Linked DNA regions of Drosophila melanogaster. The protein of the gene in region 1 interacts with the protein of each later gene in a pairwise test. Each region holds a gene or a part of one and is shown on either strand. Other genes may lie near its edges. The genes, in order: sturkopf, Cpr, Jheh3 and Ubi-p5E.

The links.
Region 2: the proteins of sturkopf (region 1) and Cpr interact in a protein complementation assay, tested with the Drosophila melanogaster proteins (one study listed by BioGRID).
Region 3: the proteins of sturkopf (region 1) and Jheh3 interact in a protein complementation assay, tested with the Drosophila melanogaster proteins (one study listed by BioGRID).
Region 4: the proteins of sturkopf (region 1) and Ubi-p5E interact in a protein complementation assay, tested with the Drosophila melanogaster proteins (one study listed by BioGRID).

Annotation. Positions count from the first base shown.
Region 1 is NT_037436.4:1,310,015-1,316,758, forward strand, and holds sturkopf (sturkopf), read right to left. Parts: upstream 3,364-6,744; 5' UTR 3,242-3,363; intron 3,192-3,241; exon of another isoform or gene 3,108-3,191; 5' UTR 2,899-3,107; coding exon 2,706-2,898; intron 2,647-2,705; coding exon 1,916-2,646; 3' UTR 1,705-1,915; downstream 1-1,704. Other genes in the region: Ctr9, read left to right, coding at 1-300, 614-1,694; Herc4 (HECT and RLD domain containing E3 ubiquitin ligase 4), read left to right, coding at 3,996-4,076, 4,144-4,321, 4,459-4,695, 4,872-5,598, 5,665-5,926, 5,987-6,310, 6,371-6,661, 6,724-6,744. UniProt on the Drosophila melanogaster protein: Probable serine lipid hydrolase associated with lipid droplets. Appears to lack or have very low cholesterol esterase activity. Appears to lack triglyceride lipase activity.
Region 2 is NT_033779.5:6,335,860-6,346,298, forward strand, and holds Cpr (cytochrome P450 reductase), read left to right. Parts: upstream 1-2,976; 5' UTR 2,977-3,266; intron 3,267-3,965; exon of another isoform or gene 3,966-4,195; intron 4,196-5,895; exon of another isoform or gene 5,896-6,027; intron 6,028-6,298; 5' UTR 6,299-6,314; coding exon 6,315-6,490; intron 6,491-6,867; coding exon 6,868-7,210; intron 7,211-7,839; exon of another isoform or gene 7,840-7,950; coding exon of another isoform or gene 7,951-8,082; intron 8,083-8,299; coding exon 8,300-8,424; intron 8,425-8,484; coding exon 8,485-9,086; intron 9,087-9,171; coding exon 9,172-9,820; intron 9,821-9,883; coding exon 9,884-10,028; 3' UTR 10,029-10,421; downstream 10,422-10,439. Other genes in the region: Pez, read right to left, coding at 1-1,412, 2,199-2,283. UniProt on the Drosophila melanogaster protein: This enzyme is required for electron transfer from NADP to cytochrome p450 in microsomes. It can also provide electron transfer to heme oxygenase and cytochrome b5. May function to clear the olfactory organ (antennae) from accumulating chemicals.
Region 3 is NT_033778.4:18,857,906-18,864,489, reverse strand, and holds Jheh3 (juvenile hormone epoxide hydrolase 3), read left to right. Parts: upstream 1-2,411; 5' UTR 2,412-2,563; coding exon 2,564-2,964; intron 2,965-3,024; coding exon 3,025-3,229; exon of another isoform or gene 3,230-3,297; coding exon 3,298-4,098; 3' UTR 4,099-4,115; downstream 4,116-6,584. Other genes in the region: CG43070 (uncharacterized protein), read right to left, coding at 1-6, 66-147, 202-347, 396-498; CG43069 (uncharacterized protein), read right to left, coding at 1,365-1,604.
Region 4 is NC_004354.4:6,275,517-6,283,136, reverse strand, and holds Ubi-p5E (Ubiquitin-5E), read left to right. Parts: upstream 1-3,489; 5' UTR 3,490-4,001; intron 4,002-4,383; 5' UTR 4,384-4,388; coding exon 4,389-5,993; 3' UTR 5,994-6,261; downstream 6,262-7,620. Other genes in the region: CG11700 (uncharacterized protein), read left to right, coding at 1-859; CG3566 (uncharacterized protein), read left to right, coding at 6,498-6,605, 6,679-6,767, 6,841-6,909.

The DNA.
Region 1 (6,744 bases):
TGTCGAACAGAAGCAGTACATCAGCGCTATTCAGATGTATGAGAACTGCATGAAGAAGTTCTACAAGCACAACAACGTCGAGGTAATGCAATATCTGGCAAGAGCGTATCTACGAGCCAACAAGCTGGTCGATGCCAAGGCAGTGCTACTTAAGGCCCGTCGAGTTGCTCCCCAGGACACAGTTCTACTCTTCAACATAGCAGTGGTCCTCTCACGTTTGGCCATGGCCATACTCAAGGATGAGAAATCTACTCTGGAAATTGTGCTGCAAGCTGTCCATGAACTGGAGCTGGCTCAAAAGTAAGTGGTATCCTTGCTCTCTTAAACTGCGCCTATCAAATATTTTCAAGTGGTTATTAGAGTACCAACCAAGTGATAACGTGAATTTGATTATATTTAGAAGTACAGCAGAAATGAGTAACCATTAATGGCATTTTAGCTTATCAGATCAGATTAGATATTAATGCAAAGCAATCATCATGAACTGCTAAACCGAAGATTGGATTAGATTAGCTGATGATTTCCTTGATCATGGTCAATAACTATTTCTATGAATATGTTTTGTTTCGTGCTTAAAATCTCACTCACAATATCCCACCCCAATCTCTTATAGATACTTCCAATATCTGTCCGTGCACGGGGATAAGAATCGCTTCAACATTGAGGTGGCTGGCATTGAGGCAAGCACCTGCCAAGATCTTCTCTCTCAGGCCCAGTACCATGTGGGCCGTGCACGTCGCATTGACGAGGAGGAGCGCTCGTTGCGCCGGAAGCAGGAAGAGGAGCGCGAGGCCTTCAAAATTAAGGTGGCGGAGCAGCGCAAGCGGCGCGAGGAGGAGGCAAAGACCTCCAGGGACCAGTTGTTAGCCAAGCGGCAGGAGTACGTGGAGAAGACCAAGAACATGCTCATCATTGCGGACGCTCCACCTGAAAAGGAACGCAAGAAGGGTGGTGGGCGAGGTCGTAAAGATGACTACATCTCCGGTACCGAAAGCGATAACGATGGAGCTCGTCGTGAGGGAGAACGTCCCTCGAAGAAGAAGGGCAAGGGGGAACGCAAAAAGGGTGGCGGTCGCAAGCGCAAAACGGAGAAGTACGAGAGCGACAGCGAGGAAGAGCCAGGTGCCAGTGGCAAGTCGGGAAAGAAGAAGGGCAAGAAGCCGAAGCCGGTTAAAGAGTCCAAGGAGAAGCTTTCTGCCAAGCAGCGCCTCAAGGTGCTTTCCAAGGAGACGATCTCCACCAGCGAATCCGAGTCTGACGGCAAGCGCAGCAAGAGCAGAAGTAGAAGCAGGAGTCGAAATCGCAGTGGTAGCCGAAGTGGCAGTGCCTCTAGAAGCGGCAGTGATCGCGAGGCTAGCCGCAAGCGCAGCAGGAGCAGAAGTGGATCTGGATCTGGGAGTGACAGTGATGAAGCAACTAAGCGGAAGCGCGCCAGGAATCGCATCGAATCTGGCGGGGAATCGGATAGATCTGGGTCCCGTGCTCGCTCCAAGTCGAGTTCCCGTTCAAGATCTCGATCCAAGTCCGGATCTCGATCGAGGTCTCGCTCCAAGTCGGGATCCCGTTCGAGATCGCGCTCAAAGTCCGGTTCCCGCTCGAGATCCCGCTCGCCGTCGGGTTCAAGATCCCGCTCTCGCTCTGGCAGCCGATCCAAGTCCGAATCCCGTAGCAGATCAGGGTCCCCGGAAAAATAACGCACCTCTCAACCGTGTTAAATCACTTTTGACTATATTTAGAGTTGTCTTCGAGAGCTGCAAAAAGATACTAATAAAAACGAACTAATTGCCACACAAAGGCAGTGGAGTAATTGCTATTGGTTTGCTGTTCAACCGTAATCCGGATTCCCAAGTCTATTGGCATGGATGGATTAGGTAATGGACAGGGCTGATTGTCTGGGCCAGGTCAACAATCGACTTCAAACACGTCTGTGCTGCTGGATCATGTCTCTTACGATTACAGCCATAGGCTGCGAGTGGCGCAGGACGAAAGCGTGGTCGATCTTCTTGGTGTCCAGCTGGGCGTCCACCTTGGGGTAGTCTTTTTTGAGCTGGTCATAGTAGGAGATTGGTACCCATCCGTCGGTAGTGCCGTAGTAAAACTTGAGGAGGTCCAGGTTCTGCTCTACAATCTCCCTTTGAATCCCGCGAACCCTGGCCATCTCATCGTCGGCCAGGAAGACCACCTTCTCCGCTACCGATGGTTTGGAGTACTTTAGGGCGGTGCCCAGAAACTGTCGTGGAATGGAGAAAATCAAGAAGTAGATCTGTATCAGCATCAGGCGCAACCACACGGGCAGAAAGTTGAAGAAGCTGAAGAAAATGTAGCCAAACACGGAGTACAGGGGCATGGCCACCTTGGTGAACACCCATCCATTGGGCGACTCCATCATCCGCTCGACGGTGGGGAACAGCATATAGCACTTTTGGATGCGACTCCGTATCCGCTCGTTTTCCAGCAGCTGCAGGATCATCCACGCTCCGATGGAGTGCCCAATCAAGTGGATCTTGACATCACTTGGCACGTATTTCTCGATGAAGGCGATTTTATGCCGGATTTGTCCGTCCAAATTGAAGAGCTCCTCGTTGCCGCTGAGTTGAGGAACCTCCCGAATACTGGCCTCTGGCGGATCATCATGGCCAGCGTGCCCTGGAGGGAACATCAAGTGTGCTATTACCGACTCAATGTGGAAACGCCAGCACACTCACCTATCACCCAAACTGGAAGATCGCCCAACTCCTTTTGCAAAGTGCCTGCGAACTCTGTGTAGAAACCTGGCAAACCGGGATTGCCAGTTATGCAGATGACGATCTCCTTCTCGGTTATGGTCTCCTCAATCCACCTGCCCCATGTGAATATGTGGGTGGGAATGGAGTTGATGTTGACGTAGGCCTCCTGCATATTTTCCGCTGCTGTTGGCGTGGCAAACTGCGCTGAAAATCAATCGGCACCTGTGTTGATCCCACTCTTTTCACACGCGATGAGTTGTCTAATCCCCGTGGCAACCGGTTTTCCTTTGTCCAACCACCTCGGCTGCAGCCTTTCACGAGTTTCAAATCTTGAGGATTGGCGCGGTTTATCCCCAGGGTTGATAGCTCTGATAAACACTGCTATGTGTTTCGGCCAATTGTTTCCAGCAAGAATGGACAAAGGTCACAAGTTCAGCGGCTTAAAAACGGCTGATACAGAAACCAGGGCGGCAAGCTATGCCAAAATCAGATGTTCTATATTAGCGGATACTTACCATGATAACGATTGCTCAGACAGAGAAAAAGTGTAGATAATTTTGTTTAAAAAAGAAAAAAACCAAAATGCATTAACTTTAAAAAAAATACTATGGCGTAAATTATTATTTGTCAACCTATTGATATCTCTTTACAGTACTAGAAGCTTTTATAAATTTCATATTAACTTTTACCTATCATCATTAAATATTCGAAAGTACTCCCTAACATTAGTTACCTACGTATACATTTTTTATTAACCAAAACTTATATGTAAAATCGCAAATTGTTTCTTTTTTCGGAAAAAATTGAGAAAACATTTTGATATTCGTGTTCAGCATAAGTTCTAGAGAATTATCCGATCTTAAGGTTTTTCAAAGCGGATCTTAAAAGTCCGCAAGCGATGCAGCCCTAGCTTAAGCCCATTGTCAGGGCTGCCAACGTGGGCAATGTGGCCCTATCCCAACCAGTTGGCATCGCCACCATTATTTATTGGTTTTTTGTTGCTGGTTTTTGAGTTTTTATATTTTTTTTCTAGAAGGCCTAAAATTTATAGAGCGTTGTAGGTAACAGGATTCAGGATTAGACTTAGATTCTGAAGGCACACCCATCGAAAGCTTGACGAGGCATGAACCGAGCAATTGGAATCGGGAGCAAGTGGACACAAAAGAATGTAGCTAACAATTGGGGACATTCTCGAAAATTCTTGTAGCACCAACAAGTAAATTATTATACCCAGAACAACCGAAGGAGCTATTGGGCGGATCCAGAGCAATGGCATCTGGCAAAGAGCTCTATTGCTGGGGAAGCACGTCACATGGTCAATTGGGACTTGGCGGAATCGAGGACGAGCAGGTAGATAGATGACTTTCGGATATAAGCCCACTGATATTACTTTTGTATGCCATTGATTTCCTCACAGATCCTCACACCTAGTCAGATACCCTGGACACCGGACACTGCTGTACAGCAGGTCGCCTGTGGACACCGACACACTCTCTTTCTGACCGCCACTGGAAAAGTCTACGCTTGCGGGAGCAACGACTACTCCCAGCTGGGCCACGATCTGCCCACCAAAAGGCCACGTATGTCGCCATTTCGTATGTAATCTTCATTTATCGTCTTGTCTGTCCACTCTCCACTAACTCCACCTCATCTCCATACTCACCAACTACGCGAGCCACTGCTGTGAACCGAGTCTAAACCCCGCAATCATCTTCCGGCCGACTTTTTGCAGTGCTTATCCCCGAACTGCAGGATTACGTGATCATCCAGATCTGCTGCGGCAGCCGCCACTCATTGGCGCTCTCCGATTGGGGCCAGGTCTTAAGCTGGGGCGACAACGACTGCGGCCAGCTGGGCCATGCCACCGATAAGGAGATCGTGCAGCTGCCCAAGGTTGTGCGGCAACTGGTCACAAAGACGGTGGTGCAGATCGCCTGCGGCAACAATCACAGCTTGGCACTGACCAGTTGTAAGTATGGAGTGAAATTTAATGGATTCCATTCACTAGATACACAGATACACATCAGAACTACTTGAAACAAGATAAGATAATTGTATTTCCCAAGTTTAGGGCATTACTAAACAATTCTTATCTAAAGCTAAACAACGATACCTTCCGACTAACATCATCCTTGACGTTTCTAGGTGGCGAGCTGTATTCATGGGGTTCCAACATCTACGGTCAGCTGGGCGTGAACTCCCCCAATGATTTGACACATTGCAACTATCCCCTCCGACTAACCACTCTGCTGGGAATTCCGCTGGCCGCAATTGCCTGTGGAGGCAATCACTCGTTCCTCATCTCCAAGTCCGGTGCGGTGTTCGGATGGGGCAGAAACAACTGCGGGCAACTGGGACTGAATGACGAAACGAACCGCTCGTATCCCACCCAGCTGAAAACGCTGCGCACCCTGGGCGTGCGATTTGTGGCCTGCGGCGATGAGTTCTCCGTTTTTCTGACCAACGAGGGAGGGGTGTTCACCTGTGGAGCTGGCGCCTATGGGCAGTTGGGTCATGGCTTTAGCTCGAATGAGATGCTACCGCGAATGGTAATGGAGCTAATGGGCAGCACCATCACTCAGGTGGCCTGTGGCAATCGGCACACTCTGGCGCTTGTTCCATCGCGCGGCAGAGTTTATGCCTTTGGCTTGGGTAGCTCTGGGCAGCTGGGCACGAGGAGTACCAAGAGCCTGATGCTGCCGCAGGTGGTCATCGGTCCTTGGGTGTCGCCCAGCGGATCAGCCCTGTTGCAATCCAATGATTCACAGGTCTCGTTGGTCATCCGACAGATTTTCTCAGGTGGCGATCAGTCGATTGTGACCACAACTTTGTTTGTAGACAAGGTGCCGCCCGAGGATTTCAGAAACTACAAGTAACTATAGAAGCGTGTTACTTTAGTATAAACATATAAAACTATAAACATATATCTACTTTGCAGCCCCAAATCCCAGATCCTAACCCTAACAGCAGAAGTCACCAAGCAGTGTGCTCAATGCAAGCAGGGCCTTCAAAGCGACATGGATCTACTGAGCTCTATTGAACTAATATTTAGAAGCCAGGCGTGTTGGAATGGTTCCTTTCTGCTGGATCACGACCGACACTTTGGATGCTCGGTTCGCAACCATGGACTGGATCTGAAAGCAGCCCAACTAGCATTCGACAATCTGCGCGCTGTGGAAAATGAAAGCATTAGGCAGGTGGTAAGTTTTCGCCATTACAAGCATCATTGGTATCTGTTTTAATCATTTCATTGTTTTCAGATCTGGGACAATATAACCAAGGAGCTAGTTGGTTCGCTGGTTTGCTCACCGGCAGATGTGGAGAGCATGCGATTATATCTTCTGCTCCCACTTTACCACGAGTTCGTCAACTCCAAGCACTACAAGTCACTGCAGGTTCCGTTTGCCAATGCCATATTTAAGCTAGCAGAGAACCCACGGAAAGTGCTGAACAAGTGGTTGGCCCAAACACCGGCTGAATACTTCGAGCATCTTGTCCAGAACTTCTTGCATGTTGTCATCCATATTATAAGTTTCAAAATGGGCTTGGCTGCCGCTAGTCCCAGCGCCGAAAGACGTCAACAGGTATTTAGATTTCAATATAGGGCCATACCAGTGTCAATTAATTCTCTATTCATAATCTAGCTGCTGCCATATAACACTGAACTCGAGATCATTCTAAAGCTGATGAAAACGCTCTGCCAAATTAACAACGAGCGCCATGATCGCCTAAACTATCAAATCTTTTACTGGCCTGATCTTTCGGATTATGCAGACGTGCAGCAGGAGTACGTTAAATGGATCATGGCCGACACTGCCAGAGATTTCAATATTTGCAACTATTCATTCATTTTCGACCAGTCTGCTAAAACAGCGTTACTCCAAGCGGATCAGGCGCTCCAGATGCACTCCGCCATGGCCAATGCGGCTACCATGGTGGGTTAATGACGCCGAACAGAAATGATTTATGAGTTAATAACTACTTTTTTATCCAGCAGGCATTCTCCTTTTTCAACTAC
Region 2 (10,439 bases), on another chromosome or scaffold:
CGCAGTCATATGACCATACAGTAAGTTCTCGTTGTGCATGCCTGGATTGTGTACATCAGGCTGGGAGCCCGCATAGTAGGCATTTCCGGGCGCGGCCATTGCCAGTGCCACATTGTGGAATTCCGCCGATGGTGTGCGGTACTTTAGTTGGACCGCCGTCTCATAGTCTGGTGCCGGGCGGTATGTGGGCAGCATGGCTTTGAGGCGCTCCCGCTCATCGTTGTTATTGTTGTTGTTGCTGCCTCCGTGGTGCAACATGCCACTGCTGCTGTGCAGGTTGTTGTTGCTCAAATCCAGGCAGGAGCTGCTTTGTCCCAACATCTGGTTAGCGCTGGTAGCCAGCGAAATGTTGGAGGAAATCATCTGCTGCTGCTGAATCTGTTGCTGCTGCTGCATATGTTGCTGCTGCTGATGATGCTGTTGCAGTTGCTCGGCGGCCGCCGCTTCATTGTAATCGTAGTCGACATAACCAACGCTGTCAACGCCCAACGGACCACTCTCCGCATCCGCACCACTTCCCAGGCTCGAGGGCGTGGCCGTGTCAATATAGCGCTTGAAAAACTTATGCTGGCTAATGGTGAGCTTCCAGAAGTAACGTGCCGTGTCCGCCTCGCTGAATATAAAGCTTCCCACGATGCTGCCGCCACCATCCAGCTTGTTCTGCTCGATCTTAATCGTTCGCTTGTCGATGGTCACCGTGTGGAACTCCTTCCATGGAAAATACTGCCGACCGTTGTCCGCGTTCACCACCATCCCGTTGATGGCCAGGCCCAGCAACAAATCATTGCCGAGCGTGTCCTTGGCGGCGAAACGTTCCTCCCCATACCCCTCCAGCTGCTGGCAGCACTGTATGTACATCTCCTCCGCCTGGCTCTGACTCAGATGTGCAATGCCCGCCTGCTGCTGCAGGACCTCCACGATCAGTCCCTCCAGCATGCTGTCATCGTTGGCCAGGCCTTGCATGTTGCGCGGCAGGACCAGCGACTTCTTCAGATAGTCCTTGCTCTGTTTGTCGCCCTGGTAGCTATCGTACTCCGCCTGGCGGCAGTAGAGCGCCAGCAGTATGGCCGTGCGGATGTCACAGGCGATGCGGCCCTCGTAGATGTCGCTCTTCAGCTGCAGAAAGTAGTAAAAGCGCGTGGCTTCGTCGCTCAAGTGGCGCACGCCAGTGGTCACGTAGTGGCGAACGCGCAAGTAGATCTTGGGGCCCGCCGCATACTTCTCCAGCTGCCGACTGAGCGAGCGCTCCAGGTCGATCCATTTGAACTCGTCCTCCTTGTCCTTGCCCTTGACCAGGTAGCGCAGTCCAAAGAACTCCGGCTGCTGGATTAGCAAACGTTGGCAAACGTTGTCCAGGCACTCCTGTCCCTTGCTCTCCGAGCTGATCGTGCAGTCCACTGTGCTGGATGTGTCTGCAATGTAGGTAAGAGTGAAAACGTGCTTCAAACATCGGCCTAAGTCGCTCCAAGCACTCTAAATTCGCCGCACAACAACAATTTGGCCCTGCCCGTCGCACGCGCAAATATGCAAATAAAGTTTATAATCTCTTTCGAGACCTTATACGTTTTATGGACGGAAATTGTGGCGGCGCCGCTCAATTGGCTTCTCTCATCTGTCGTATTTCCTAACTAACGAAACGTAGGCCTAATGTCTAAAACCTTTCTGATGGTTGGAGAAATTTGGGTGGTTTTAATTGAGTCAAGGTCTTCAGTTCGCTTGCCAAATAAGTACATTCGGTTAAGTGTATAAGAACTACAAAACATGCTTTTGTTTAGCCCAAAATCGAGAGTAAATAATATACAAAATGTGAAGTACGCAAAGTTAGGAAGTTCTCATAGGCAGTCTGTTAGTTTTAGAATTAACGGTCGCTGTTATGTGTCCTGTGCGCCTCTGTTAACTCAGCGACTGTTAACTAGAATGCAACAAGTGAAGGCATTTTTGTGGTCTGTGCCTTGGAAGGCGAATTCCAGCTAAACTGGAAGTGGGCGCCGCATGACAATCGTTGTGCACATTCCCAATTAAATAATCCCAATTGCAATGGCAGACGGCAGCTGTTAAGTTGTGGCTTTGTCACCGATTTCTTGTTGTTTCTATTGTCTCGTCTCCACTGTTGCTATTGCTGTTGTTGTTGTTGTCGTTGCTGTCGCTGTTGTTGTTGTGGGGGGCGTAGCGCCTCTAGGAATGTGGGGCTTACTCACCCAGCAGGTGATGCACTGATATAACAAACAAACTCTTGGACGTAACATTGTACTGGCGACACTTTTTCAAGAATTTCAATGGCATTTTTCGACTATTTTGCTCCACCGGGGCTCCGCTGGGCTCACAAAAGTGGCTAAAACGGCAGCACCATCGACACCACAGGTTTTTTTTGGGGGAGTAAATTGCTCAATTGGAATTAGCCGATTTGAATCAGCTGATTAGACACGCAAACCAGAGCACTGCGCGTATTGGTTAAGTAAAGTTAAAGATAGTAATTGGGCAGTTAACGACAATAAATAAAGGAATTCACGAGAAATAAAACGAAGAGACCGAAGTGCTGATATCGATACGCAGGTGCTGACTGAGTATCTCGGTGGCTGGCATCGAATGGATCGATAGGCGGCATTGACTATCGGTATGTCTTTGCGCAGTGGGCTGCAAGAAAATAGGTTTAGTTCTGTTAAAGAAAACAAGTGCAACCAAGAAATATGTAACTGAAACAAAACAGTTTATATTTTAAAATATATAACAATGCAGTCAGCAGTGATTAAATAAAATTCCTAAAGATATTAAAACCACTGATACACACGAATACTTCGTTGTACACAGCAAGAGAATAACGGTTTCTAGCGAACAGTAAAATATCAAACTTAACAGAGCTACTGGACACATAGGTGGCGTGCTGGCATAGCTCTGTTATCCGTTCCAACTCCAGTGCTGGAAAGTGCGCGCAACTGAGAAATCCACACCGCGATTCGACGACGGTCCCTCTGGAATTCAGTAATTTAGTACTGCTGCTGCCGTGGTAGTCGTCACTTCCCCTTTGCACTTGCCGCCCTCCGTCAACGTTTTATCGAATAAAGCGAATTAAAATTAAGATCGTGGCTTCGCCCCGCTGCGTAACTGAATAAAGCGAATTTAAATCAAGGGCTTTGACGTCTGCCAAGCTGCTGAGAGGGGCTGCAACAGGAAGAGCACCAGAGACGGGGCACAAATCCACATCCACATCCACCGATCGTCGTCTATCTACAGAGGATTAGGAGCAGCGCAGTCGGAGATCGCGATCGGTGAGTTTCGAGGAGCCGAATCACAAGGCCACGCACTGTCGAAATCCAAAAAGCAAAACCCGATTACCAAAATCGAAATCCAGTCCATAATTAATTTGCTGCTTAGATATTTCGAGCGCTGCATTGGCGGTCAAGGTTGCAGCGACGAGGACAGATGATGGAGCAACCGTATCGCTCACTCGCTCGCTCACACACACACACACACACAGAAGAGCCCTGCGAGCGAGTTTAAAGTTCAGTACCTGTTGCTGCGCTCGCCCAGTCTCCCTCTCCCTCTCGCTCTCGCACAGCCTCGCCGCCGCCCGTGCGATAGTGCGCTCTCGCTCACTCCGTCCGCGCTGCGTGTAATTTAATTTAATTCACTTCTGTTATTAATTTGCGCTATTTGCACGCTGTATCGCCGCCTTTCACGTCTCAAACCGAGTCGTAGGCCGAATTGCATAACCAAAAACGCGACTCGGGTCGCCAATCGGCCATCAAGTTACTTTTCTGCTCGTGGCTCTCCGCTGAGAACAGCTGTCGACTGTCTGCTTCCCGTACAGTAAGCACTCGATATGAGCGACGAAGCTATGTTCTTAATTTCCGTTAACCTGCCTTTCCTTATTCAAAAAATCAACATTTGAAAATCCTAAGTACACCAACTTTACACATTTTCCAATTGGAGTTGGCGTTGCATTTAGTTTCCAATTTATTAAAAACAATTTGTGAAAAAAGCCAACCGATATATTGTTTTATGCTAATTAAACACACACACATTAATGACGATGTAAACAAAATCCTAGTATCAAAATTTACTACAACGAAATTGAAAGTGGCTTAGTTCGAAAAGCCGAAGTGTGTATACTCTTGCTGCCTTGTATAACTGAACTCTGTAAAATCGTTCCATTTTGAAAGAACTAAGAACTTAGTAGGAGATACTGCAAGTCTAGGTATGTACGTACATACATATTTACATATATATAAATCAGTTAAAATATAAAAATTGTACATTGTTGTACACTTCCTAAGAACTTTTATGGATAAAAATTAGTTCTCTGAAATTCAAGTTCAAAGACAAACTAAATAAATATATTATATTATATGTTATGACACCCCATTATAGGGTTACCTACCTATTAAAGCTAGACTATTAGTTCTTCCAATTAAAGAACCATTAAAAGGGCAGGTTCCGTAATGGGATTACATTTAATGGACTTCGGTTAAAGTGAGCGCGGAGTTACATTTCATCCTTTCCAGACAGCCAAACTAGGTTTATGATAACGAAAGCCACTTGGGCGCGAAATAAATATGCATAGTCATGCTTACTTTATAATTCTCCGTCGATTCGGACGAGTAATTCGAGAGTGTCATCGTGTTTAGGGAATTTTAAAATCACATATGCCAAGCGAGATTCTAAGCGTTATCACGCACATTACAAGTGTGTAGGGTGATACTAGATGGGCGTTTGTTGTGACTAGATCGTAAACTTTGTTTGAATAGATGGCTAAGCAGAAATAACCAAGATCATTCATCTCATTCATTTAGATTAACTACTTAGTCGTAAACTAGAAAAAGAAGCACTCAAATAAAGAGTGTTTTTGGAGGAAACATATACACATTTGAACGAGTTAGGATCTATTGTTTCGTAAAAAAAACTAAAGAAACCGAATTTATGTTAACATTTTTGGAACATTTGTTGGTTTTCGTGATATATATGTGTGCTTCCTAACACAATTTAATCATTGCGCTGTCGTCATTCCGTCAATCGAACAGCACACATGGGTGACCTATAAAAAGACGCCAATTTTATGTTCACCTCCACTTGTTGTCAGTGTTGGTTGTTATCGGGAGCGTCGAACACATACCTTCCTCGAAATCGGACGAGAATGACGATACTGGCGTCGATTTGCATATGCCTCGCATGTGTTTAATATTTATTTTCTGCCTTTTGCTGACCACAGCAACAAGAACTATTACGCGACTCTATACAAAGTTCACGCACGTAGCGGCGCATTAGCAACATTAAAGCATTAAGTCAAACCCGAATTCAAGGTGAAAATTCAGTAGAGCTCCTTAAGCCCCCACAAAACAAAAGATAACACCTGGGATCAGCTCAAACTTCCAACTGCTTAAGTTGAGAGTTCTAGTAAAAATGCTTTCGGCACTAGTTAAAACTCAAAGCAGTCGGGGCGAATTTCATTGAACTCCAAGTGTGCATTTCAAAACCCAAACTCTAGCTTAAGTAAACCCTCTCAATTTGCATTTCCTATGCTTTTTTTTATAAATTCGGGTAAAGAAACGTATACAAACCGTATATGTACATTAAAATCTTTAAGTACTTCATAAACTGAATCCTAATGAAAGGGAATGTATTTTGTTTGGGATGATTTTAATCCGATTTCACATTGACAAGTACCAAAGCCTTTGCTTAGTGCAATTGGCGATTTCCTGGAACAACGGCTGGTAAAGGTGTTAATCGAGTGATTGGAAATCAAATTTCGTTATTTTGCGCCGCTCAAAGAGTATTTGCTTGGGAACAGCGCATTTCGAACGCTTTTACTCGTTTTCATCATATCTCTCGACCGGCGACGGCATTCGATAAGCGCGTGCATAAAACCTGTTGCTCCCGGCGGTCAGTGAGCAGTGCTCCCTAACGCGAAACACACGTTGCGTCGCCACAGAGGCGGATCCAATCGAATTCATAGCTTTAATTGCACCAGTGCAGCACTGCAAGTGATCGACGGAGTAGTCGTAGTTGTCAGTGCAACGGGAACGTCCCAAGGTACGATCGATTAAAACCAGATGCGCGATTTCAATGTCAACCGGCGGCGCTGGCGGAACATCCAGCTAGAGCGGTACCTTGCACCGCTAAGACAAGTGCGGAAGCGGACGGACTACCGTTAGACGCACAGGCGATGCTACGCCGCCAGCGCTGGTATACGTGGAATACATTAGAGTGCGTGTCCAAAGTGCGCGACATGCAAATGGAGCTAGACCAATGTTATGCAAAGCGAAAACTAAAGCGCCGTGAATTCTGTGCCCTTTTTTTGCAGTCATACACGTACCACCATGGCCAGCGAGCAAACGATTGATGGAGCAGCCGCAATTCCCAGCGGCGGCGGCGACGAACCCTTCCTGGGACTGCTGGACGTGGCCCTATTGGCGGTGCTAATCGGCGGCGCAGCCTTCTACTTCCTGCGTAGCCGCAAGAAGGAGGAGGAGCCAACCAGGAGCTATTCCATACAGTAAGTATAGTTAAATTTGAGCAATCTAAAGCAATCTAATCCGAAGTCCAAAACCATGGCAATTCTTGAATTGAATAGTCAGTTTCTTGATAAACCTTTCAAAAAACATGCATATCACGCGTACAATTCAATATTTAAAACTGCTTCTTGAATGAAATGCCCTCTAGATCTATTCGGTTCATTCCGTCACAGATCCATATGTTCCGCCGATTTGTTGGAATCGATCGGCCATTATTTGACGCTGAATGATTCACACATCGCAAATGAATGTGTGAATACCATTGTGTGATTCATTCGTTGATCTGAGTGTTTACCTGCGTGTTAAGATAAGATTCAAATTTGGCTGAGATTTTAACGCATATCTTTACCTTCTTCAGACCCACCACAGTGTGCACCACCAGTGCGTCGGACAATTCGTTCATCAAGAAGCTCAAGGCATCCGGACGCAGTCTGGTCGTCTTCTATGGCTCACAGACCGGAACCGGCGAGGAGTTCGCCGGCCGTCTGGCCAAGGAGGGCATTCGTTACCGTCTGAAGGGCATGGTTGCCGATCCCGAGGAATGCGACATGGAGGAGCTGCTGCAGCTGAAGGACATCGACAACTCGCTGGCGGTCTTTTGCCTGGCCACCTACGGCGAGGGAGATCCCACTGACAACGCCATGGAGTTCTACGAGTGGATCACCAGCGGCGATGTCGATCTGAGCGGGCTAAATTATGCGGTGAGTACGAGCGATATCACACGGAACGGTCTTATCTGCATGCATACTGATTACACGAGTCCCCCTCGCCAAACACGGAGTCCGTTCCTCTTATCAAAACATTGTGCCACTGATAAGTGATTTTTATTCCACGCCCAATCGCAATTTTGGCTATCTCCCCGTATTTTTGCGCTTTGAGTTGTTTGTTGTGTTTTAATACAGCTGATGTAAGCGGAACGAAAACATTTGAAATGGCATTGGCGGATCCTAATTAACAGATAGGCTGTAACCTGATAGTGTAGCGCGCACGGAAGAGTTTGTTTTTGATAATAAACCTACTATTATTACTCCCCATCTCCCAAATGCCAGCAGTTCAGCGTAGACAAATTGATAGAAATCTAATCGTTTCTTGGTAGCCTTGGAGGTGTCATACACCTTAGTTTCGTTGACTTTTAAACAACGTTAAATATAGCATATTTTATTGTTGCCGACAGTCCAACTGGTAGTAAACCAAAAAGGAGTTCTATATTATCAACCTTATCAGTTGCCCAATTCGAATTCCCCGCCAAACTAGCAGCTCAAAAATGCGTCGTTCAGGTTCGCGCGCCGTAGCAGTCGGCTTTTGACTGGCAGCAGTCGCACGGAATTTTTAGTTGCTTCTTGAAAAACAATGTGCTCAATGTCGATCTCTGTTCTTGCGCAATTTGTTTACAATTGCCGTGGAAATTCTGCGGTTCAATCCAGCAAATGTCGGCCGGAAAATGCAGAGCTCGATCGCCACATCTGCCCACCTGTTCGTCAGGTTCCGCCAGCAAAAGCTGTTGAATTTGCTCAGCATTTTGAATAGTTTACGTAACAGAACAGCTGTCGCGAAAAGAAAAATTGAATGGAAGGTAGTATGAAGTTCAGTTCTACAATCAATCATAGTTCAAACTATTAAACTGATAAGTGATAACACTCAAACTTATTATGAGTCTCATTAAAAAAGATGGCTTAGTTGTTCATTCGTGCTCTGAAATTCGCGTTCCTAAGATGCATCATGTATTTTAAGTAGTTAAGTTAACTGAATTCCATTCTATAGTTACTAAATCCACTCTTATCTGATTCCAGGTCTTTGGCTTGGGCAACAAGACCTATGAGCACTACAACAAGGTGGCCATCTATGTGGACAAGCGACTGGAGGAGCTGGGCGCCAACCGGGTCTTTGAACTGGGACTGGGCGACGATGATGCCAAGTAAGTGATGAAGGTGTAGCCAACAATGTGAACCATACTCAAGTGATACTTCCCCAAAAGCATCGAGGATGACTTCATCACGTGGAAGGATCGCTTCTGGCCCGCCGTGTGCGATCACTTCGGCATCGAGGGCGGCGGCGAGGAAGTGCTCATCCGCCAGTACCGTTTGCTAGAACAGCCAGATGTGCAGCCTGACCGCATTTACACGGGAGAGATCGCCCGCCTGCACTCGATTCAGAACCAGCGCCCGCCCTTCGACGCCAAGAACCCATTCCTGGCCCCCATCAAGGTGAACCGCGAGCTGCACAAGGGCGGTGGCCGCTCCTGCATGCACATTGAGCTGAGCATCGAGGGTTCCAAGATGCGCTACGATGCCGGAGATCATGTGGCCATGTTCCCTGTTAACGACAAGAGTCTGGTGGAGAAGCTCGGCCAGCTGTGCAACGCCGATCTGGATACTGTGTTCTCGCTGATCAACACCGATACGGACAGCAGCAAGAAGCACCCATTCCCTTGCCCCACTACGTACCGCACCGCTCTGACCCACTACCTGGAAATTACGGCCATACCCCGCACACACATCCTCAAGGAGCTCGCTGAGTATTGTACTGACGAGAAGGAGAAGGAGTTGCTGCGCAGCATGGCCTCCATCAGTCCCGAAGGTAAGAAATTATTCACAAGACTTATTACTGCTGTACCAGTAACAGGAACTCCCACGAACATATACTAATGAATGTTGCATTGCAGGAAAGGAGAAATACCAGAGCTGGATCCAAGACGCCTGTCGCAACATCGTCCACATTCTGGAGGACATCAAATCCTGTCGCCCACCCATCGATCACGTTTGCGAGCTGCTGCCCCGCTTGCAGCCTCGTTACTACTCCATCTCGTCGTCTGCTAAGCTGCACCCCACTGATGTCCACGTTACAGCCGTTCTCGTGGAGTACAAGACGCCGACGGGACGCATCAACAAGGGCGTAGCCACCACATATCTGAAGAACAAGCAGCCGCAGGGCAGTGAGGAAGTAAAGGTTCCGGTATTCATCCGCAAGTCGCAGTTCCGTTTGCCTACGAAGCCAGAGACACCTATCATAATGGTGGGTCCTGGCACTGGCTTGGCCCCCTTCCGCGGATTCATTCAGGAGCGACAATTCCTTCGCGATGAGGGCAAGACCGTGGGCGAGTCGATTCTCTACTTCGGTTGCCGTAAGCGCAGTGAGGACTACATCTACGAATCCGAGTTGGAGGAGTGGGTTAAGAAGGGCACTCTCAACCTGAAGGCCGCCTTTTCTCGTGACCAGGGCAAGAAGGTCTACGTGCAGCATCTGCTCGAGCAGGACGCAGATCTTATATGGAACGTGATTGGCGAGAATAAGGGGCACTTCTACATATGCGGGTAAGTAAGCTAGAGGATCAGCCAGCACACAAGATTCTCACCATACCATTCTACCCATTTCAGTGATGCAAAGAACATGGCCGTGGACGTTAGGAACATTTTAGTGAAAATTTTGTCCACTAAGGGTAACATGAGCGAGGCTGACGCCGTGCAGTATATCAAGAAGATGGAGGCTCAGAAGCGCTACTCGGCCGATGTCTGGAGCTAATCTGATCCAAAAGCCAACCGATGATAAGCGTAAAGTTTTCTAGTTCACTAAGCTATGTAAGCGTAATTTTTGGTTTGGGAACTTCATGCTGCAGTTCAACAAACGAATGAGTAACGATTAAGTGTATGTCTAGTGTAATTGACTCTAGCTTGACCCTGGACTGTTTGATGGGACAAACTGAGATGGAATCTAAGTAATGAAATGAGCGGAGTAACAAGTTAACGATTAAGTAGCTGTGTACGAGTGCAGATTAGTTAAAGTCCTTTATACGAGCAATTTACTTCGTATTCTCTTGGTGATTTCAATACAAAAACGAAACATGTTGTGCAATTAAACAATGACATTGCAATTGTATTTTTATAAATAAAGAAAAGTACGGTTGACTTCTATAATAATGTGTGTTTGATGTTT
Region 3 (6,584 bases), on another chromosome or scaffold:
GTGTTACTGTTGAAACACACTATTAGATGCCTCGAAAAAGATTTTTGAAAATTCTAAAAACTTACCAGCTAATGGCCAAACTGGGAGACAGACACACGGAAAAGTTAGGCTAATGAAAATTCCGTAAATAAGACATGTTCTTTTCTTCTAAAATGAAAACTAATTAATATACCGCCAGGATTTTATATTCTTAAACTTCACCTCATCTAATGCAAAGCATAGTAGAATCGAAGATACTATCTGACATAGCATTACGACAGTGATTCCCATAACAACATCTTTGTCAATAGTTCCGGCAAAAGTGTGATATTTGAACTGACGTCTCTGGTGATCAAATGGATAATTTACTGAGGGAAAAATATAAACATTAGCTGGCAAAACGTGTACTAACTGACCATAGCAATCCAGAATGTAGGCGTAGAAACCGAAACCACTCATTAAGTTCCACGAAGCCAGAGTTGCGATGACAAACCAACGTTGATTTGATCGATCTGGCATAGTGTACCTGCGTTTTTGTTCATAAAAAATGTATTTTTTTTTTTTAGTAGGTAAAATATGCTGAATAACTTTTCCAGGCCCGCCCCAATGGAAATCAATTTAGCGTCAGGTTCAATGGACTTTTACGACAAGTGCGTGTCAGCTGGATGAAAAACTAATTGCGACCATTAAGGCCACGCCCCCTCTTCGAGGGCGAGGCGGTTGCCAATGGCAGCGGCGTTGGTGCCAAACTTTGGCCGTAACTGGAGCACTCAATAAAATGTGAATTAGCCCGGCGGAGCCGGCATTAATGGTCCGCGATTCGGGTCCGCAATAGGAACCTCTCCATTTCCCCGGAAGGTGGCAGCTTTGACACGCTTCCAAGTATCAATGCGATTGTTTTTGCGGCACGCGAACAAACTTTAGTCTTATTTTTGTATGTTTTTCAACTGCAGTGCATCGAAAGGTAGTGAATTTGAGTCCTTTGACTGCGGCACGGTAATTGCGTTAATTTCGCTCGAATTACGTTTCCCATCATTGTTTCTGCCACGGCGAACCAACCACGCCCCCATTTGGCTGTCTTGCATGTTTGGCGGCACTTTTGTGGTTTTTTTTATCGAGTCTCCTTGCCCCTTGAGTCCTTCGATATAGTTGCATGTCGACAGCATTATTGGTGCCCTTACAATTTATGCGAATTATCCCCTACCTTTTATGCACCCAGAAATAGAAATGTGTAAAATTTAGACAAAATATTACCAAGTCTATGCATATATTTGCGATGGGTTTCTATTTTACAATTTTTATCTAATATTTTCAGTGTACAATGTCGCCTGCTAACCTCTCGCAGTTCACTGCCTCTATTAACTTGGCTTCATGGTCTTCGAGCACTAACATTCTTCTACAACATCGACGATGTCATTATCCTCCATGGCCAAGGAGTCAAATGTGTCCTCCTCCTGGATTTTCTCACCATCGAAGGCCAGGATCAGAGACTCAGTAGCAACTCCAAATGCCTGGGCATATTTTTGCCTAAGAAGTGCGGCCAAAGGTTGATCCGTTCTCACATGGCACCGCAGTTTAGGTAGATTTGAGGATAGAAGCCAAATGGTTTTGCTTTGATTGGCCATTCTATTTTACATTAGAATTACTAGGAGTGTATTTAGATAGTGATAGGTGCCACGTGGCCTTCTGATCGGCCGACTTCATTTCATTCATTTTTTGGAGCCACATCATCAGTGGCAGAAGGGCTGAGATTTATGATCAGTTGCCGGCGTAGCGCTTACCAATAAATAAGTTCGATAAGATAGTGGTGGCGAATAAGTAGCTGGGACTATTCTCAAGTCACCATCGCACTTGTCTCATATGGTACACACGTATGGGTCACCCTATCTCGCTCGGAAATCAATGGGCTATTCAAGGTGCAGACGCGGGCAAGTAACACAGTACCAGGCAGACTAACCGCAATGCACCTTGGGGCTAAGTCTATTATAAAATGCTGGAAATAGAAAATAATGAAAAAAAATATATATACTTCCTAAATACCCTTTGGTTAGGGAATTGGTATTCCTAAATACCCTTAGATAGGCAAGCTATCTAACTATCTAATTATATATTATAAGTACAAAAGTACAAAAAGTATAAAAGTATTATAAAGTACAAAAATTTCATTATAAAGTGCAAAGCTTTAACCACATTTAAATATATTTATACTTTATACTTAATTTCCCAAGCCCATTAACCTTTGAGCTGCGAGCAGACCATTATAACCAAGATCAAGCAAAGATCAATTTGACAGATCATATTGTGAACCACTGTGCACGATAGCCAGCGCTATCTAAACGAATTTATAAATATTATACGAACATATACTATAACGGCGACAGCGAATTTCGATAGAGCTTTGCGAGACAATTCGGGGAATGAGTATATGCGCCGGCAGTCAGTTCTTAAGCGGCTTTCTGGTTGCACGGTCGTGTTTATTCCGAATTCGGGTTAGGAATCACAAACCATTATCTCTTCTGGGAGGTGTACGAGGTGGCTAATTTAAATTCATAACGAGGGGGAGCTAATTGCGCCTGTGGCCAGAATGAAGTGCCTGATAGTGTTTGGTCTGATTGTGGCCCTGTTTGGTGCCTTCGTGGGCTATGGCTACGTGGTATTCACGGAACTGACCAAGCCCCTGCCCAAGCCGGAGTTCAAGGATGATACGTACTGGGGTCCCGGCGATGCCAAGGACTTTGTGCCCGACGAAAAGATCTACGAGTTTAAGCTGCAGGTGCCGCAATCGGAGATCGATGATCTGCGAAAGGAACTCAACCGCACGCTGAGACTAACCGAACCGCTGGACGGAATCGCCTTTGAATACGGATTCAACACCTATGCACTGGAGCAGTTTGTGGACTACTGGCGGGACAATTACCTGACCAAGTGGGATGAGCGCCAGGAGCTGTTCAACTCGTTCAAGCAGTACAAGACCGAAATTCAGGGGTGGGTACGAGTGCTTTTGTATAACATGGATGCCATGCTAAAAACGTAATACCTCCGCAGCTTGAATATTCACTATATCCACGAAAAGGTATCCGAGGAGGCTAAGGAAAAGAAACACGTATATCCTCTGCTCCTGCTCCACGGCTGGCCAGGATCGGTGCGCGAGTTCTTCGACTTTATACCCATGCTAACCAAGCACTCAAACATCACGGATTACGCTTTTGAGGTCGTGGCACCATCCCTGGTGGGCTACGGATGGTCCGATGTGAGTGTTATTTGTTTTTCAGTTGAATTTCTTCATTTTAATTATTATTATTATTATTATAACTTAAGGCTGCCACGCGTCCCGGATTTAATGCCGCTGAAATGGCCACTGTGATGCGTAACCTGATGCTGCGTCTGGGCCACAAGAAGTTCTTCATCCAAGGCGGAGATTGGGGCAGCATCATTGGCAGCAACTTGGCCACCTTGTATCCAGAGAACGTAATCGGTTACCACTCGAACATGTGCGTTCTGCACACGCCACTGGCCATTCTGAAGGGAATCTACGGCAGCTTCTTCCCGGAGAAGTACTTGCCGTCCAGATTCTTTGTGGATCATCACTTCCCCGTGTGGGAAAAATGGCTGGAGCTGCTGGAGGAAAGCGGTTACTTTCACATCCAGGCCACCAAGCCGGATACGATTGGAGCGGCTCTGACCTCCAGTCCCGTCGGCTTGGCCTCCTATATCCTCGAGAAATTCCAGACCTGCACAAATCCCGGCCTGAAGCAGGACTTTGGCGCCATAGTCACTGTCTTCGGCCTGGAGGCTGTGCTGGACAACCTGATGGTCTACTATCTGACGAACTCGGCCACGACAGCGGCTCGTTTCTACCTGGAGAACGTGTCCAAGACGTACAGGGATCTCCAGCTGGATCGTGTGCAGTCCCCGGTTCCCATGGGCTGTGCCCGCTTCCGGTTCGATCTGGCCTCGGTGACTGACTGGCAGCTGAGGGACAAGTTCCCCAACCTGACCCACTCGATGTACTTCCAGCAGGGCAGCCACTTTGCCGCCCTGGAGATGCCGGCCATGTTGTTCAATGATTTTACCGCCTTTGTGGGAAAAATTGGCCTACACGGCGAGAAGAGAAAATAAATTGTTTTAAGTATAATTACCAAACGGATTTTGTACTTTCGCTTGGGAATCGGGAGGCACATGAGATAGCTATTAAATTGGCAAGGCGACAAAAGGTCAACGTATTTTAAGTACGGTTTTGCAGTAAGGTGGTTGGGACCACCTCAGTACCACCATAACGTGGTTACATAATATTTAACAAATGTGGAAGGGAAATAGAAGGGGGTAAGACAAAATCTTTTTTAATTACATTACAATAAAACTAATAACTATAAATAGTAGGTATGGTTAAGAAGTAATTGCTTGTAATCCATGTTTGTAATTGACCGCAAACTAAAAAAATATTATTGATTCTTTATTTATATATATGTATATATGTATATTTATATATATACAGTCATGGTCAAAATTATTTTCACAAAGTGCATTTTTGTGCATGGGTCACAAACAGTTGCTTGTGCAGCAAGTGGGGGGAGGTGAAATGCAAAAAAACTTTTGCTTTTGCAAATTCAAACCTATGCAGAGTCAGATGAAAGAAGAATTGAAAAAATAACTGTTCCTATGCGCAAGGAAGAGGCAAATGAAGAGATCTTTATCAGTTGTCAGAAGTATTTGCACACGGTTTCGTCGCATCACAATTATTTTCACAACGCAATTTCTTCTTCAGTGATTGGTTTAGAGTGACAAGTGCCGGTTTGTTTGCTTAAATACATTTAAATTATTGAATAAAAATTAGATTTAATCATTTTCCTATTACAGTTATTAAATAAAATGCCCAAAACAAAAGAGTTAACAGTTGAGGCCCGGGCTGGTATTGTTGCTAGGTTTAAAGCCGGTACACCTGCGGCCAAAATAGCTGAAATATATCAAATTTCGCGTAGAACTGTCTACTACTTAATAAAAAAGCTTGATACAGTTGGCACATTAAAAAATAAAAAAAGATCAGGCCGAAAACCTGTGCTGGACCAAAGGCAATGCAGGCAAATACTTGGAGTTGTGGCGAAGAATCCTAGTGCCAGTCCGGTAAAAATTGCCTTAGAATCAAAAAATACAATTGGCAAACAAGTTAGTAGTTCTACAATTCGTCGCAGGCTAAAAGAAGCTGATTTTAAGACATACGTTGTTCGCAAAACGATTGAGATCACACCAACCAACAAAACAAAACGTCTTCGATTTGCGTTGGAATATGTTAAGAAGCCTCTTGACTTTTGGTTTAATATTTTATGGACTGATGAGTCTGCATTTCAGTACCAGGGGTCATACAGCAAGCATTTTATGCATTTGAAAAATAATCAAAAGCATTTGGCAGCCCAGCCAACCAATAGATTTGGTGGGGGCACAGTCATGTTTTGGGGATGTCTTTCCTATTATGGATTCGGAGACTTGGTACCGATAGAAGGAACTTTAAATCAGAACGGATACCTTCTTATCTTAAACAACCATGCTTTTACGTCTGGAAATAGACTTTTTCCAACTACTGAATGGATTCTTCAGCAGGACAATGCTCCATGCCATAAGGGTAGGATACCAACAAAATTTTTAAACGACCTTAATCTGGCGGTTCTTCCGTGGCCCCCCCAAAGCCCAGACCTTAATATCATTGAAAACGTTTGGGCTTTTATTAAAAACTAACGAACTATTGATAAAAATAGAAAACGAGAGGGAGCCATCATTGTAATAGCGGAGATTTGGTCCAAATTGACATTAGAATTTGCACAAACTTTGGTAAGGTCAATACCAAAAAGACTTCAAGCAGTTATTGATGCCAAAGGTGGTGTTACAAAATATTAGTATTGTATTTATATAAAATAAAAAAAATTCTTATGTTGAAATTAGATGTTAAGCTGAAATTTACTAAATTAAGTTGAGTGAAAATACTTTTGAAGCGCAATAAACATGTGAAAATACTATTGACAACTTGCATGCATATTTTCTTTTGCTTTAAGCTTTGTACTATGAACCGTTATCTTTCGTATTTCTTTTCGACTACCTTCTGCATAGATCAAGCTAAGCGATAAGAACTATTTCAGGCAAATCGGACAACAACAAGAAGAAATATAACAAAAAGAAGTTGAAGTTTGCAAATATTGTGCGTTGTGAAAATACTTTTGACCACCTCTGTATATATTAAGGGCTCCGCGTGTTGGTAATTCGAGTTCTTAATCATTATTAATTAATTAAATCAGTATTTAGTTAAATGTCATATAACAATTTCATTTTAAGCATGAATCGTTTCTTGTTCACTTTACTTTCGTGGATTGATAAATGGAACTGCTTGATCATCTTCCTAAACTAAATGTAAATTTTAAGTACAAAAATTGCTCTCACTCAATTTGTTGCCAAAAGCTCGCCGAAATTCTCAAATTATTTGTCCAATCATGCTCGCATTGCATTGCCGTGTGGAATACGATCCACTTGAAATCCACAAGCCAACAAAAAGCTTTTGTTTGCCGGTAGCTTGCGCTTTACAAATCATTTGTGCTCGACGATCGTAAGCGAGGAGTTGC
Region 4 (7,620 bases), on another chromosome or scaffold:
GGTCGAGCCATCCGATACCATCGAAAACGTCAAAGCCAAGATACAGGACAAGGAGGAAAATCCCCCAGAGCATCAGCGTTTGATCTTCGGCGGAAAGCACCTGGAGAACGGACGCACTCTGTCCGACTACAACATCCAGAAGGAGTCGACCATTTACTTGGTCCTGCGTCTGCGGGGTGGCATGCAAATCTTCGTGAAGACCCTCACTGGCAAGACCATCACCTTGGAGGTCGAGCCATCCGATACCATCGAAAACGTCAAAGCCAAGATACAGGACAAGGAGGAAAACCCCCCAGAGCATCAGCGTTTGATCTTCGGCGGAAAGCACCTGGAGAACGGACGCACTCTGTCCGACTACAACATCCAGAAGGAGTCGACCATTTACTTGGTCCTGCGTCTGCGTGGTGGCATGCAGATCTTTGTGAAGACCCTCACTGGCAAGACCATCACCTTGGAGGTCGAGCCATCCGATAGCATTGAAAACGTTAAGGCCAGGATCCACGACAAGGAGGGAATCCCCCCAGATCAACAGCGTTTGATCTTCGCCGGAAAGCAGTTGGAGGACGGACGCACTCTGTCCGATTACAACATCCAGAAGGAATCGACCCTTCACTTGGTCCTGCGTCTGCGTGGTGGCATGCAGATCTTTGTGAAGACCCTCACTGGCAAGACCATCACCTTGGAGGTTGAGCCATCCGATACCATCAAACACGTCAAAGCCAGGATCCACGACAAGGATGGAATCCCCCCAGATCATCAGCGTTTGATTTTCGCCGGAAAGCAGCTGGAGGACGGACGTACTCTGTCCGACTACAACATCCAGAAGGAGTCGACCCTTCACAGTCACTTTAAGTGGTAGAGAGCGAAAACAAATTAACCCACCGTGAGGGAGAGAGCAGGCGGCGAATTTCCAGTCAACTTATACCTATACCTATAAATACCAGCGCGCTGCTGTAAAACGAATCGTAAGCTGTGAAAAAGTCGTAGAGAGCGGACGTCCGAGCAAGTGAAGAAAGCAAGTTTTTGAATATTTCAAAAAGTGCAGACCAAATGTAAAGAAATAAATTAGCTTTTCTGTGCGAAACAGGAAAAAAATTCCGGTTAGTTTGGCAAGTGTTTCATAGTTTTTTTTAGTTGCTTTTAAAATGCCGAAGCAACAAGTGCAGTAAGCGAAAAAGGGTGCATTCCATGCATCTGTGTGTTTTTTTTATATACGGCAGGAAAATGAAATTCAAAGATACCGTCCACCGTCCGTAGATGGCATGCACGATTCATAACTCTCAGCTAGAGAATTATGCCTACGTACTAAACAAAAATCTCTGATCTCTCTCCTGTCCTTGTCAAGCTCACCGGCACTGCCAGTCAAAGTATTTTATCGGTGAGCAGGTCATGGTCAGATCCGACGAGCGATGCGGAGATCGTGATGGGGACTTTGTTCCCGCCCTTGAGGAGGCACGCTAATGAAGTCCATCGTCTTCTGGCTTGTGGCAGTCATAGAAGCTGTAGGGGCCAAAGTCTCCACATCTACAGCTGCACTGCAGTCGCTAGTTTTCGGCTGCTTGCTCACCCCTCGCTCCGTGAATTGGAGTTCGGACTCCTCTTGTAGGGGATCTCGATAGGCTGTAGCTCCTCCTGAACGGGTCGTTGGGATCGGGCACTGCCTCCCCTGTTCTGTCCATCTGATCTAATGGGCGGACTACGGCTTGTTGGTCACCAACGTTAGAAAGGGATCCATTGTGGGCCACGGATTTCTCCCTGGCGTTTTACCGGTGGAGGTTTATGCCGCCTCTAATCGGACACCAGAGCCTTTGCTTAGGCATCAGAACGGCGAGAGGATGATTAGTTGTCTGTCCGCGACCTTTAAGCCTTTTCCCTTTCTAAGAGGTTGTTCCGCTCCGAAAGAATCAAAACATGTTTAAATTCTTAATTCAAATTTTAATTTTAATTCAAATTAATTAATCCAAATTCGAATTTGAGCATGAACACACTTGTCGTGTGTGTGTGTGTGTGTGTGTATGCCCAGTTCCAGGGGATTTTATTATTATTTTTTTTTGACTAAGTTAGAGATTAGTCACCAAACCTAAATTTACTGTAAATTAACGAAAAAACCAATAATGTTTGTTTTCTGTATGTGTATGCTAAAATACTCTTCTGGGTCGCGGGAATTGGGTCACTACGCAGAAAATCAATTTCCTTCCACTTTCCATTACTCAGCCAACTTTTTTCCTTTTCCATTTCTCCACTCGCAGCCAATATGCAAATTTTCTTTAAGACTCTGACCGGCAAGACCATCACTTTGGAGGTTGGACCATCCGATACCATTGGGAACGTCAAGGCCAAGATCCTAGACAAGGAGGGAATCCCCCCAGATCACCACGTTCACCATGCGAACGGAGGTGGAGCGCATGCTGACGTTGATTGCCCAGGGATCGGCTAACTTTCAGGATGTTTTGCGACACGCCATCAAGATCTTCAAGCTGAAGTTTATGTACTTTGTGAAGAACATCGACAGCATGGACGCACTGTTTCAGGTATCCTTCTCGCCGCTGGCCGAGTCGGGCATTGCACTGCTCTACCGGCAAGATTGCACTGCTCTCATTGCGATGAGACATACGCCCTGCCCATTGGAATGTGAAGGTGTATCGCGAGTTCAAGTGCCCGCTGGATGATCTGCTGGCTTTCTCCACTGGCGTGAAGGGGCGTTCGTATCCGTTCTGCCCGTACTGTTACAACCATCCGCCGTTCAGCGACATGCCCCACTTGGGGGGCTGCAACACCTGCACGAACGCCAACTGCCCGCACTCGCTGAACACGCTGGGCATCTCCAGCTGCGTGGAATTCCATAATTGTAAAACATTTCTTATATTTGGATCCATAAATACATTAATTTATTTCTTAATATAAAGCAAACTTAATGAAATCTCGTGTAACTTGGAACTATTTTATAGTAAGAAGCTACCAATTCCAAAAAAAACTTCACTTTTTTGGAAGGAAAAACTTTATTTTGTTTTTTTTTTTTTGTCATATCATGGGGAATACATGTACACTGGATTGTTAGTATGAGAAATTCATGACAATTATTTGAATAATTGTATATATTATCCTATATCTTTAGTTTGTACTTAAAGAGTTAATAACGTTTACTATTTTAAGGGGTTACATCAAGGGTTAAGCTGCTGAAATCAGCATACATCAGATTTCATCAGACCCTTCCATTCCTGGAACTTTCCAGATGCAATTGTAATGCATATGTACATATGGAAATAGCATTGTACGCATACTGGCTTATGTGCGAGTGGGTTGGTGGGAAATTTTAAATTGTTGGGCTCTCTTGTCTAAAGGCTGATGACCAAAGCGAAGACAAATCTCCCAGGCGGCGTCAAAACAAAAAAAGGTCGATTAACTCGCCAAACAAAGAACGTCACAAGAAGATGTCTGTGCGTCTACATGCATACATATGTATGTATATACAAATTTATACACCTCCCTCTGTTAGAATACACACACAAACGCATACACTTCAACAGCTGAGATTAGTGTTGGAAAGAGGGTCAGGCAACTTATCGATAACTCCGCTCTCTCGCTCACGAGAGCGAGCGAGATAAAAGCAGTGCACATATGCACTACGCATTTTGTTTTCAATGCCCAATTTTGCGTATTGCAGCTAGCCAATTGATTGGCCTTCATGTGTTAAATACTCTTGTCAATGCGAAATCTCATTTCCAATAGACTAGACAAAAGAAACGGTCACTTTAAGTGGCAGAGAGCGAAAACAAAGTAACCTACCGCCCGAGAGTGAGCGAGAGAGCAGGCGACGACTTTCCAGTCAGCTGCCTATAAATACCAGCGTGGGGCTGCGAAACGAATCATAAACTGTGAAAAAGTCGTAGAGAGCGGACGTCCGAGCAAGTAAAATAAAAGCAAGTTTTTGAATATTTCAAAAAGTGCAGACCAACAGTAAAGAAATAAATTAACTTTTGTGTGCGAAACAAGAAAATAAGGTGAGTTCAGTTTGGCAATTGCTTAATAGTTTTTCTTAGTTGCATTCAAAATGGCGATGCAGCAAGCAGAAAACGGTGCTTTCCATGCTTCTATCTATGTGTGTGTGTGTGTGTGTGTGTGTGTGTGTGTGTGTGTATGCCCAGTTCCAGGGGATTTTTTTTAACGAAGTTAGAGATTAGTCACCAAAACTAAATTTGCCATTTCATGGCGAAATAATGCAAGCTGTGAAAACATTAACGAAAAAACCAATAATGTTTTCTGTATGTGTATGCTAAAATACTTTTCTGGGTCACGGGAATTGGGTCACTACGCAGAAAATCAATTTCCTTCCACTTTCCATTACTCAAGCCAACTTTTTCCCTTTTTCATTTCTCCACTCAGGCAATATGCAAATTTTCGTTAAGACCCTCACTGGCAAGACCATCACTTTGGAGGTTGAGCCATCCGATACCATTGAGAACGTTAAGGCCAAGATCCAGGACAAGGAGGGAATCCCCCCAGATCAGCAGCGTTTGATCTTCGCCGGAAAGCAGCTGGAGGACGGACGCACTCTGTCCGACTACAACATCCAGAAGGAGTCGACCCTTCACTTGGTCCTGCGTCTGCGTGGTGGCATGCAGATCTTTGTGAAGACCCTCACTGGCAAGACCATCACTTTGGAGGTCGAGCCATCCGATACCATTGAGAACGTTAAGGCAAAGATCCAGGACAAGGAGGGAATCCCCCCAGATCAGCAGCGTTTGATCTTCGCCGGAAAGCAGCTGGAGGACGGACGCACTCTGTCCGACTACAACATCCAGAAGGAGTCGACCCTTCACTTGGTCCTGCGTCTGCGTGGTGGCATGCAGATCTTTGTTAAGACCCTCACTGGCAAGACCATCACCTTGGAGGTCGAGCCATCCGATACCATTGAGAACGTTAAGGCCAAGATCCAGGACAAGGAGGGAATCCCCCCAGATCAGCAGCGTTTGATTTTCGCCGGAAAGCAGCTGGAGGACGGACGCACTCTGTCCGACTACAACATCCAGAAGGAGTCGACCCTTCACTTGGTCTTGCGTCTGCGTGGTGGCATGCAGATCTTCGTTAAGACCCTCACTGGCAAGACCATCACCTTGGAGGTCGAGCCATCCGATACCATTGAGAACGTTAAGGCCAAGATCCAGGACAAGGAGGGAATCCCCCCAGATCAGCAGCGTTTGATTTTCGCCGGAAAGCAGCTGGAGGACGGACGCACTTTGTCCGACTACAACATCCAGAAGGAGTCGACCCTTCACTTGGTCTTGCGTCTGCGTGGTGGCATGCAGATCTTCGTTAAGACCCTCACTGGCAAGACCATCACCTTGGAGGTCGAGCCATCCGATACCATTGAGAACGTTAAGGCCAAGATCCAGGACAAGGAGGGAATCCCCCCAGATCAGCAGCGTTTGATTTTCGCCGGAAAGCAGCTGGAGGACGGACGTACTCTGTCCGACTACAACATCCAGAAGGAGTCGACTCTTCACTTGGTCCTGCGTCTGCGTGGTGGCATGCAGATCTTCGTTAAGACCCTCACTGGCAAGACCATCACTTTGGAGGTCGAGCCATCCGATACCATTGAGAACGTTAAGGCCAAGATCCAGGACAAGGAGGGAATCCCCCCAGATCAGCAGCGTTTGATTTTCGCCGGAAAGCAGCTGGAGGACGGACGCACTCTGTCCGACTACAACATCCAGAAGGAGTCGACCCTTCACTTGGTCTTGCGTCTGCGTGGTGGCATGCAGATCTTCGTTAAGACCCTCACTGGCAAGACCATCACCTTGGAGGTCGAGCCATCCGATACCATTGAGAACGTTAAGGCCAAGATCCAGGACAAGGAGGGAATCCCCCCAGATCAGCAGCGTTTGATTTTCGCCGGAAAGCAGCTCGAGGACGGACGCACTCTGTCCGACTACAACATCCAGAAGGAGTCGACCCTTCACTTGGTCCTGCGTCTGCGTGGTGGCGCCATCTAGATTTTTTCACCCTTATAAAAATTGAAGTTAGTTAGTTGTGCCACAGGGCATAACTCAAGAATTCATACTAAGTTTTAGTAAATTGGTTTATTCAAAGGCACAAAATAATCAATCACAATAATTATTGGTATTCGAAGAATAAAATTTTCAATTTGTGTGTTCAATGTAATACTCTATGTAGTTTTTATCTGTGTTTCCCAGGGTTTTTAATTTTGTGGGGGATTCTTGATAGAAAGTTGCAATAAACATTGGATGGCGTTGGAGTGGTGGATTTAATTTGAATATTTAAATTTGTAATACTCTATTGTATTTTACTGGAATTGTACCACAGGTACATTGGAATTATTGCTTAGGTACCTTATGTGGTATATTTGGGGTATTTTGTGTGACCAGCTGACTCCAACGAAAAGTGGAGCCGGCCACACTGGAATAGTCCGAAAACCTGTTAGCTTGCGTTATTTAGTTAAATTTGCGGAGAAGAGCAGGCAGGCGCAGTCAGGCAAGATGAGCAAGGAAATCCGTTTGGCCACCGTCAACGAACACAACAAAGCCACGGATCTGTGGGTGGTCATCGACAACAAGGTCTACGATGTGACCAAGTTCCGTCTCGAGGCAAGTGGCGATGCAGATTGTTGGTTTTAGGGGGGGGTGGCGAATCCATCTAATTCGATGCCCTTATCTCCAGCATCCCGGTGGCGAGGAATCCCTGGTGGATGAGGCCGGTCGCGATGCCACCAAGGCCTTCAATGACGTGGGTCACAGCTCGGAGGCGAGGTTAGAGAGTCCATCTTATAGCCAGTGCGCCTGGATCACCTGATTCACATTTCTTCCCCACTTGCCTTTTCAGAGAGATGTTGAAGAAATACTACATTGGTGACCTGGCTGCTGCGGACATCAAGAAGAAAAGCCCAATTAGGTGAGAATCCTGTCCAGCAAGTGCATGCAAAGACCCAACCAAGCCAAAATGCCATATCATCATGTAAATAAAGAAAGCCCTGCGGATTTCCCTTCTCCGCTCCCACACGGATTGATCTCCTTATCTCGCTAGAACACCAGTATTCCTGATAAGGCATTTCATCATCATCATTTCGTACGCTCCACTTTCCTTAATGCATGAAGCTCCTATTCCGACCACAACCGGTTTCGCATGAGCATGGCCTGCGTTTCAATCAATAAGTACAATTAGCCAACTCTTATGTAATCCATTAATTGCCTCGAAGCCCCCAAAGTTTCACGCTTCACGTGTCCTGAAAGTCTCTATTTCGTACACTTTTTGGTGTACTACTTTGATACCCTTTGATACGATTGGATACCCTGAAGAAGATAATGATGATACAGAAGTGTTCCTTAAATTATATCAATTATTTATATTCCCATATAGAGTATCAACTTTTTCTTTACCAACCGCTAACAAAGCCACAATACTTAATATTTAATGAATCTAATGAATCTCAACTTGCATGTATGATATTTGCTCCATTCAAGATTTAATTCCTTCTCAAGCACGAAAATAAGGTTCTACAAAAGCTAGTTGGACTTGTAAGTTCTAACCACTGACCTGTGTACATATATTACCCATCATGATTAACCCAAAGCACACGTCAAGCAACTGGAATTATGTACATAT